Neurospora crassa OR74A: one gene and its partner. The protein of the gene in region 1 interacts with the protein of each later gene in a biochemical or structural test. Links are inferred from orthologs where the notes say so. Each region holds a gene or a part of one and is shown on either strand. Other genes may lie near its edges. The genes, in order: mus-41 and NCU02113.

Region 1 (4,523 bases):
TCCATATCGTCTGCCAAACCCGCCGCAACGTCAGCGGCCATATTGGCTTCCTCCTCATCAGCGAGGATCTCCTGGTTGCGAACAAGCACAGGGTGACAGCAGGACTGCCGGAGCCGCAAGATCTGTGCAAAAATGGAGGTAAACGCCTTCATGACGGTGCCGGCCTGCATATTGTCAAAGAGCGTTCGCTTGGCGCGGTTGAAGACGTAGTCGTAGACTGCCCTTTCAGGCTCGGAGAGTTCGATGTCGACGATCTCGATGTGTTTGGGCGGAAGCGGAACAAGGAACTGGCCATCCGGGGTCTTCATGTCTTTGGTGCGGCGCATGACGAGCGGTTCGAGGACGGTTTGGACGACGTCTAAGGCGCGGACAAAGTTCTTGGACTCAAAGGGGACGGTGATGAAGGTCCGCCAGAAGGAAAAATTGTTCCATGGCTCAACGCGTAGGAAACGGACCAGGCTGAAGAGGTCTTCGAGGCGATTGACAATGGGGGTTCCGGTGAGGACCCAGCGGTGTTCGGCGGCAATTTCGTAGCATGCGCGGGAGGTCTTAGCTTGGCGGTTCTTGATATTATGTGCTTCGTCCAGAATGACACGGAAGAAGTTGAGGGAGAAAAGCCCGCGGCTGCTGAGTCTGTCTCCATTCTTGGTGGCGAGTTGGGTAAACTCGGAGAGGACGACTCCATAGCTGGTGATGATCACATCTGGAGCGTTGGCCGCGTTGGCTTCGCAGCACATGGTCACCAGATCGACATTCTTTTCCGCCCCGTAGTACATCATGGTCTTGAACGTGCCCTCCTTGGAAGCATTCTCAGCTTCGCTTTGCCATTGCGCCAGCAAGGACATGGGGGCAACCACAAGGGTTGTGCACGGAGCGTCAATTGTCGTCTTCTGTCCAGAGACTGTTGGTAGGCGTGGGAGGTTGTTGACCGAGGTAGGGCCAGCCTCCCGCGCCTTGATGGCTACTTCGGATCGGTGAGAATGGATCAGGGAAAGCATCTGGATGGTTTTGCCTGTGATACATGACTGTGAGCTGGATATCAGGTCAAAGAGAAAAGAAAAATGTAAAAGGCAAACCCACCAAGTCCCATCTCGTCTGCCAAGATTCCACCAAGACAATGCTGCTCTTGTTTGGGGAAGTCCAGTGACAGATCGCCAGAGTATGGGTTGACGTAGAAGCAAGGTTGGTCAGGAACCACAGGTAGGTCCTTATCGTCATGGTCCTTGGTCGGCCACACGTACTCTTCCCATAGGGGATGCATGGATGTTTCACGGTCTTCTGTTCGCTGGTTCTTCTCCTTGGCCAGCATCCAGTACAGCGACTGCTTCTGGTAGGGACGCAAGGTCATGGCGAAGGTATTAGCTGGTTCAGCCTCGGGGGTGCTAAAGTCGAAGGATTGGGCCTTCTTGTACAGCGCGTCGAGTTGGTCTTGTTCGAGCTCCTGGCCCTCTTCGGCCTCTTCGGGGGGAGAAGCTAATCCGTTAGTGTTGTGGTCCCCAGCCTTGGCCTTGTCCATCGCCTTCTTCTCGGCCGAATCTGCTGCTTCAAGAAGGTCTTTCCTGGCGTCCTTGGCGGCAGCGGCGTTGCCTCGAGACGGAACAATGTTGATCTCTTGAAACAGTCTGACAAGCGCCACTTGTCTCAGTCGCAGGTCCTTCTCTTCTGTTGTCTCGTCTTTCTCGTGGAACCCGGCAGCCCTATTGTCGGCTAGTTGGAGGGTTCTCCCCAAGAAGGCAGACCGTAGCATGTAGCACTTGAGCTGCAAGAAGACGGTCTCGTTCGTTCGTAGACGCTCGGGCGCGTAAACACAGATGCCTTCGAATCTGCAGATGTTCTGGTCTATTAGCGTTGACACCCAGTTGGCTGTGTCTTTGGCTAGACGGCCGAGTTCCCTGCCACTGGCGTCGTTGAAGCGGACTATGACATCGACACGTTTGGCAGCTGCCGCGCTGACTCGTGGTATGGACTGCGGGGTGCCAGGCTTGGTCTGCCCTTTTCTTGCAACGGTAGGTGGTTGGATCTTTTGGCGCTCAATCTTGACGCTGTCACCGTGTCTGAGGAGGCCTGTCCCGCTTCTGGTAGCCCATCCCTCAACACCAAATGCGCCGACGTAGCGGGCGTCTGGCATTGATGGGAGAACCTTTGTTGGTGTGTTCGATTGCGGCTGTGGTTGGGCTTGAGCGTGCGACCGGGACCGTGCTTGTGATGTTGATGATTTCTTGGGAGACTGACCTCCTACAACCAGGGGCGAATGCGAGTTGACTCTGACTGGAGGCGCCCGGTGCAGCTTTTTCCATGTTCCATCCAGGTACATGTTGACGGCTCTTTCGATGTTGTTGCCGCAGTTCTTGCTGATGACGTGGAGGATATCGGACGCAACCTTTTCGCCAACAAAAGCTTCGAATGTGTCTTTGTCGAAGGCCAGCTGGGGGGACTCGACCACTGGGGGTGCCACGTCCCGGGGTGTCGCGATCGGAGTATCGACGTCTTTCAAGAGATATCCTTTTCTAGGGTCTGGTTTGGGCATGTCGTTGAGCCAGGGAGCACATATCTTCGTGGCGTGGGGCGTTAGGGTGCCATCGTCTGTGAAGAATCTTGGGCGTTCTTCGTCGTCGTCGTCGTCGTCGTCGTCGTCGTCGTCATTGTGGTCCGCATCTTTGGAAACTCGTGGCTGGACTTCACTGTTTGGGTCTTGGAGGAGTTTCTTCCTGGGTGGTGAGCTCGGGGGAGCACTGAACTGGGGAGACGAGCTGGGGCCGCCAGCGACATGGTCCGAATCACCCTGGTCGCCCAGGAACCGGCGCTTCTTGGAGAGAGGCTCGTTGGTGAAGTCCATGGTGTCGTGTCGGTCCATCCAGGTGTTGGTTGTTCAGCCCATTAGGTTCAAGGTAGGTACAGTACCTCTAGGTAGTCGTACCACGGGTGTACGGTATCAGTCAGCTACTGTCACCCAACCGACTCGAATGCACCAACTGCAATGGTGAACTTCAGTGTTGCGCCTGTGAGACGCGACTGTGCCGTGGCAACCGTGAAACTTTGGCGTGCATTCGTTTCCGCCTTCCCGCTGTCAGGTGATTGCGCGCCACCCTAGAGGTAATTAATTACGCCCTCTGCAGTGTACAGTCCAGTGCTGGGTTGTTTGTTAGCTGGGTACACTAGGTACTGTACCATACTCTATACACTAGACGAAACCTAATCTATCCCAATTAGTCCTAAACCCTCTAAGAAGAGATCGAAATAGTTGGTATAAAGGTTAAAAGATATTAGTACTATTTGATATGGCATTCAGAATATTACAAATGGTGTATCCATGGTAAGATCACGCATTGATTAGCTATGAAAACGCATCGGAAAGTTGATGCGAGGTCTCGAACTAACAAGCAAACCAGTACTGGATTGTATGGAAAGCCAGAAGCTTGGGCCACTGAAGCCATTTAATGCCGTCATCGCTGCTAACCATAAAGGCTTTAGAGGCGCCGCGCTTGTGATGCTGAGGGGCGCAGCGTAACATGGTCTCAGCGAATTGTCAAATCAACATGTCCTGTCGTCGTCGGCTTGTCTTCCTCCCCGCTGCTGCCGAGGTTGTCTTGTCTCTTGTTACAGTGAGAGATGTGAACCACTTTGTGACAGCGGGGAAAACAGTACCGCTTCTTTGATCATGATATCCCCTCGAGCGGCAGGTTGTTGTCATGGCCTGGGGCGGGCACCTCTACGGCCCCGTCTACGTCTCCAGCCTCAGAGGCCTTCGTGGCAGCCTTCCCTCTCCGGACGAGGCCTCGCGACAGTCACAGACGGCGACGTCGAAAAGGCCCGTCAGTACTGTGAGAACCAGCTCAAGTCTGTCTCTGCTTTCCCTCCCCATACCTAGCCATTCTTCCCACTTGCCCTTCTTTCTCTGCTAACTCTTTCTCCCCCCACCCCAGACATGGTGACTACGAAGCTTTTCTCCTCCGACAATTCGTCCCTCCTTCCTCTCGGGACGCCTACAACGCCCTCCGTACCCTGAACCTCGAACTTGCCCGTCTCCCCGAGACAGTTTCCAACCCGACCATCGCACGCATGCGCATGTCCTTTTGGCGTGAAACCGTGAACAGCGTCTTTGCCGGCAATCCCCCACGCGAGCCCATCTCCATCCTCCTCCACCAAGCCATCCAAGACCTCAAAGCCCGCGCCGGCCCCAACAGCGCCAGCTCTCTCAAGTTCTGGCTCCTACGCTTGATCAACACGCGCGAGCAACACATGGAAAACAGGCCCTTTGTCAGCTTGAACTCGCTGGAAGACTACGCCGAGAATACGTACGCGACGCTGATGTATGTGACCTTGGCTTCCATGCCTTTGCGATCAGTACATATGGACCACCTGGCTAGTCACATCGGCAAGGCGTGCGGCATCGTAGCCACACTACGCGGCATTCCCGTTCTCGCCGCTCCATCGCAGCCCATCCAGGGTCCGGCTGGGAGCGTGGGCAACACCCGGCATCCCGCCCTGCTACTACCCCTCGATGTGATGGCCGAGGTGGGGGT
Region 2 (4,135 bases), on another chromosome or scaffold:
TGTCCTGAGAACATGGCCACGGGTTCTGACGCGCTCGGAGCCTCTGGGGCGGTTTGCCGATCGTACAGGTAAAGGTTGCCCGGTTCATTCTGTGGCATGGCAAGCAAGCCGTTGCCAAAAGGGGTGTGCCTAGCTCGCCATACTGGAAAGTCGGTGCGAATGACACGCTCTGGTTTGTCGGTCTTTTCGTAGTTCCAGAACTTGATGGTTTTGTCCAAGGAGCAGGTGACCAGGCAGGGGGCATCAGTCCGATTCCAGTCGATACCGTAGATTTTGGACGTGTGAGCACAAATGGTCTTGAGGGGTTCGACAGTCTTTCGGTCGTCCCAGATATGAAGCAATCGATCGTGAGCCGAAGCAATGACATGAGGGTCTTGACGACTGTATTTGACCTGCGTTGCACCGGCAAACCAGTCACAGAATGACAGAGCAGGCTGTCTCGGTCTTCTCAGATCCCAGTGATGAACATAACCGTCAACTGAGCAACTGGCTAGAAGATCTGGGTGGTGAGCGGAAAAGTTAATGTCGGTGATGGCCCGACTATGGGCTTGCAACGAGTGCTCGATGGCTCCAGAGGGCGAGTCGTCCCTCATGTTGAGGTTCCATACCAGACAGCGATGGTTTGCTGTCGAAGCCACCCAGTAGTCACGAGCTGCAAAGGGAGACCATTGAACATCGACCACCAGCCACGGGAGGCCATGGCTGCTCAGTCTTCGTGGTGGATTCCATGGCGAGTCCAGGTCTATGATGGCGAGGCCCTCGGGGGAAGCAAGAGCAACATCACGGCCCGAGGGTGAGATGGTGGCGGAGCCCACCAAGCCATCAACATGGATGGTCAGGTCGGCATCGAAGCTCTCACTGTCGAAGGCTGACTTGATTGTTTTCGCCTTCTTTGGCGGAGAGTCAAATACGGAGGGCATATTGCGGGATCAGGATTGGACGAGACGGTGCAGCATGGTGCGTATCCTCCCTCATCCCATTCTCAGTGCTGGAGTTTGACTGAAGTGGTAAACCAAGGATGAGTTGGGTTGAGTTGAGTTGACGGGACTTGACGAGACTTTATGTTGAACTAGACCAGGTCCCCCAAGGACGAATAACCTGGCATTCGTAGGGCGTCTCGGGAATGGTGAAGTCGAATGCAAACCGAAATGATCACAGGAGGTCGTCGTCGTCGATCAATGCAAAACATATCGAGAGGCGTCGATATCAGCGGAAGAAAGTGTGAAGGCCGGCAGGTTGGAAGACAACTGGACGTGGAATGGAGAAACCGTTCGACCAAGATGGAGAATCTCTCAGCTCTCTCTCTCACACACACTCTCTCTCTTCTCTTCAATTGGAAGGTCAACCTGACAACGGCGTCAACCTCGACAAGGCGCCGATGAACAGTTGGAGACACGAACGGCACCTCACTCAGCGGTGCAGTGGCAGTGACTTTGGCCAGTACACTACACTAGGTAGGAGGTACCTTCTCGATCATGTGGTCTGTGCGCTTATCGCGAGATCCCGATTAGGTAGAGGAATGGATGATGGAAGCCGATTCCATCCCATCACATGGATCCGCATGCCTCTAGCCCAGGTACCTAGGTAGGCCACCTCTGGCTGTCGCTGTCAGGGCCGTGACCGCTGTCACAGGGCATTCAGTGGTTTGGTCAGAGAGGCACGCCGCGGGTTCATTCGTCAGCGCATCCCACACACCCGACCTTCTTCCACTTTGCCTTCCAGTTCCATTCCGCGTTCCATCATCGAGAACTTCCCGTCCCGCCTTGCTCGTGAATAATTGCCCGTGTCGCAAGAGATTACCGTAGGTTCTGCCGATTTCGACTTGTCTCCAACAAGTTCACAAGGAACAGAATCGACTGCCTTGCGACGATTTTGGTCTAGCCATACCTACCTACCTACGTACCTCTACTACCGCTTTTACCACACATTCCCTAGGTTATTTACAGGCCCTTTCGCACCGTGATAGCGCAGTACACTGTTCGTTACTGTTTGCCTCGATTTGTCAACCGGAGCCTCCGAAACGCCTCTTTAAACTGCCCTCTGACATCCAGCATAACAATCGGCGATAGCCCCTCCACTTGCCCTCCTGTCTCTCCCAGCCTCAGCGACAAACATTTTCCTCACCACCATTTCTGCCACTGGCTTGTCGAGCTTCCTTTCGCACTAAACACCAACAGCAATTAATCTAATCACCATGGCGCTTCCGAAGCGGATTGTCAAAGAGACCGAAAGGCTGATGGCGGAGCCGTACGTACATACCATCCTCATCCCGAGAAGCAAACAGTCTAGACCAAAGTCCTAACTTCTCCTTCCTGATCGCAGTGTCCCGGGTATTAGTGCTGTTCCCCACGAAGACAACCTTCGCTATTTCGACGTCGAGATCCACGGCCCTTCGCAATCGCCATATGAGGGTTGGTCTTCCTTGAACCCCACGGCTGCCGTTACATTCATCTCTTACCTTCCGTGCGCCATGAGAACATACCACATGATCGCTAACAGGAGAACCAAACACCCACACAGGTGGTGTCTTCAAGCTCGAACTCTTCCTTCCCGATGACTATCCCATGACCCCTCCCAAGATCCGCTTCCTTACCAAGATCTACCACCCCAACGTCGACAAGCTGGGTCGCATCTGCCTCGACGTCCTCAAGAGTGAGTAGTCCCGAGAAAGAAAAGCCGCGATAGTTGGATACGCCAGTTCCGAAAAGCTAACACACGATACCAAACCCGACAGACAACTGGTCCCCCGCCCTCCAAATCCGCACCATCCTCCTCTCCATCCAAGCCCTCCTAGGCGCCCCCAACCCCGACGACCCGCTCGCCCCCGACGTGGCCAAGACCTGGAAGGAGAACCCCAGCGTTGCCGTCGCCACCGCCCGGGAATGGACACAGCAGTACGCCTTGCCATCCCAGTAGGGTCGGAGGCTGGCACCAGGAATCAACGAAATCCCGGGACAGGGCCTCATGGCTCACGCGCCGACATATGACCCTTATGGAGGAAACTTTGACCCATATCGGTTTGGGCCTTAGGACGGCAATTGACAGGAGCAGCTGGTTGTTCTGGTCTTGAAGCAGAGATGAATCACCAAGGCCAGCAAGTGGCTGTGGCAAAATAACAGAGAGGATCATAAAGGGAAAGCAGTGGAAGAAGTTGGTCTAGGTGTTTGTGTGAAGCACGGCGCTGGTGGTGTATCATGCACCCACCTAGGGTGCATACGGAACGCACAAAGAGAAAGCCCGTGAGAGGGGAATGAGGAAGGGAAGGCTACACGAGATAAGGAGAGACAACGAATACTGGATCGATGGACGAGGAAGGGGCACGTATGATGGGTTGAGTGAAGGATGCCATGGTGGATGCAACAGCGCCACGCGGCGCCAAGGCAGACACCAGAAGGAGGAGTTTTCGAACATAGAGAACATCCTTTCGAAGCGTTGTGTTTTCAGGTGTTGTTTTTTTCGCAGCGATAGAGTACCGGGTAGGGCTGTTCAAATACTACTTACATATCTTGCAACATGACCACTGTTCGGATTTGCGTCTGTGAGTGGGGTGGATGAGCCTTTGGATCAGATGTAGCGGTAAGCTTCAATAAACTCACGATAACACATATAAAATGAAGGGCGGTGTGGTTTATACTGAAAGACACCGGCCATCTTCACAACCAGTAAGTACGAACACGATTGATTGCTTAGCTTCTGTACAAGCGAAAACACTGATACCTGCAGTCATCTTGAATAGACACCTATAACCTGTTAATATAATCTCGAGGATTCCAGCCGGGATGCAAAGTCCAAAACTTTACTATAGAATACATAGAGTGGTTAGGTAGCCATCGGAATGGAATGGATGGTTCCAAGGGAGTTATCAGAGGGAGGGAGGTTCACAGAGGAATTTGCGACAGGAGGAATTCCATTCATGAACTAGAACCCCCAAGTTCCTTCCCTTTTTTTTTGGGATGGGTGGGAGGGATGAAAGGAGGGCCGCGGAAGAGGACTGAACAGATGGACCGACTTGGGACGGGAGATAGAGAGGTTGTGGAGAAGTATATCTATCGAACGAGGAGAGCACTACTACCTAACTAAGTAAGTACCACAGACAGTCTTTCGGAGGACGGTGCGTAACTTCAAACTGATATCT

The links.
Region 2: the proteins of mus-41 (region 1) and NCU02113 form a complex in vitro, tested with the Saccharomyces cerevisiae proteins (3 studies listed by BioGRID). The link is inferred for Neurospora crassa OR74A from reciprocal best matches to the Saccharomyces cerevisiae genes RAD5 and UBC13.

The regions. Positions count from the first base shown.
Region 1 is NC_026503.1:36,209-40,731, reverse strand, and holds the start of mus-41 (DNA repair protein rad-5), read right to left. Parts: upstream 3,041-4,523; 5' UTR 2,855-3,040; coding exon 1,081-2,854; intron 1,013-1,080; coding exon 1-1,012. Other genes in the region: NCU09517 (hypothetical protein), read left to right, coding at 3,659-3,837, 3,924-4,523. UniProt on the Saccharomyces cerevisiae protein: Probable helicase, member of the UBC2/RAD6 epistasis group. Functions with the DNA repair protein RAD18 in error-free postreplication DNA repair.
Region 2 is NC_026501.1:1,237,480-1,241,614, reverse strand, and holds NCU02113 (ubiquitin-conjugating enzyme E2 13), read left to right. Parts: upstream 1-1,643; 5' UTR 1,644-2,194; coding exon 2,195-2,247; intron 2,248-2,322; coding exon 2,323-2,411; intron 2,412-2,520; coding exon 2,521-2,652; intron 2,653-2,734; coding exon 2,735-2,916; 3' UTR 2,917-3,517; downstream 3,518-4,135. Other genes in the region: NCU02112 (hypothetical protein), read right to left, coding at 1-920. UniProt on the Saccharomyces cerevisiae protein: Has a role in the DNA error-free postreplication repair (PRR) pathway. The UBC13/MMS2 heterodimer catalyzes the synthesis of non-canonical poly-ubiquitin chains that are linked through 'Lys-63'.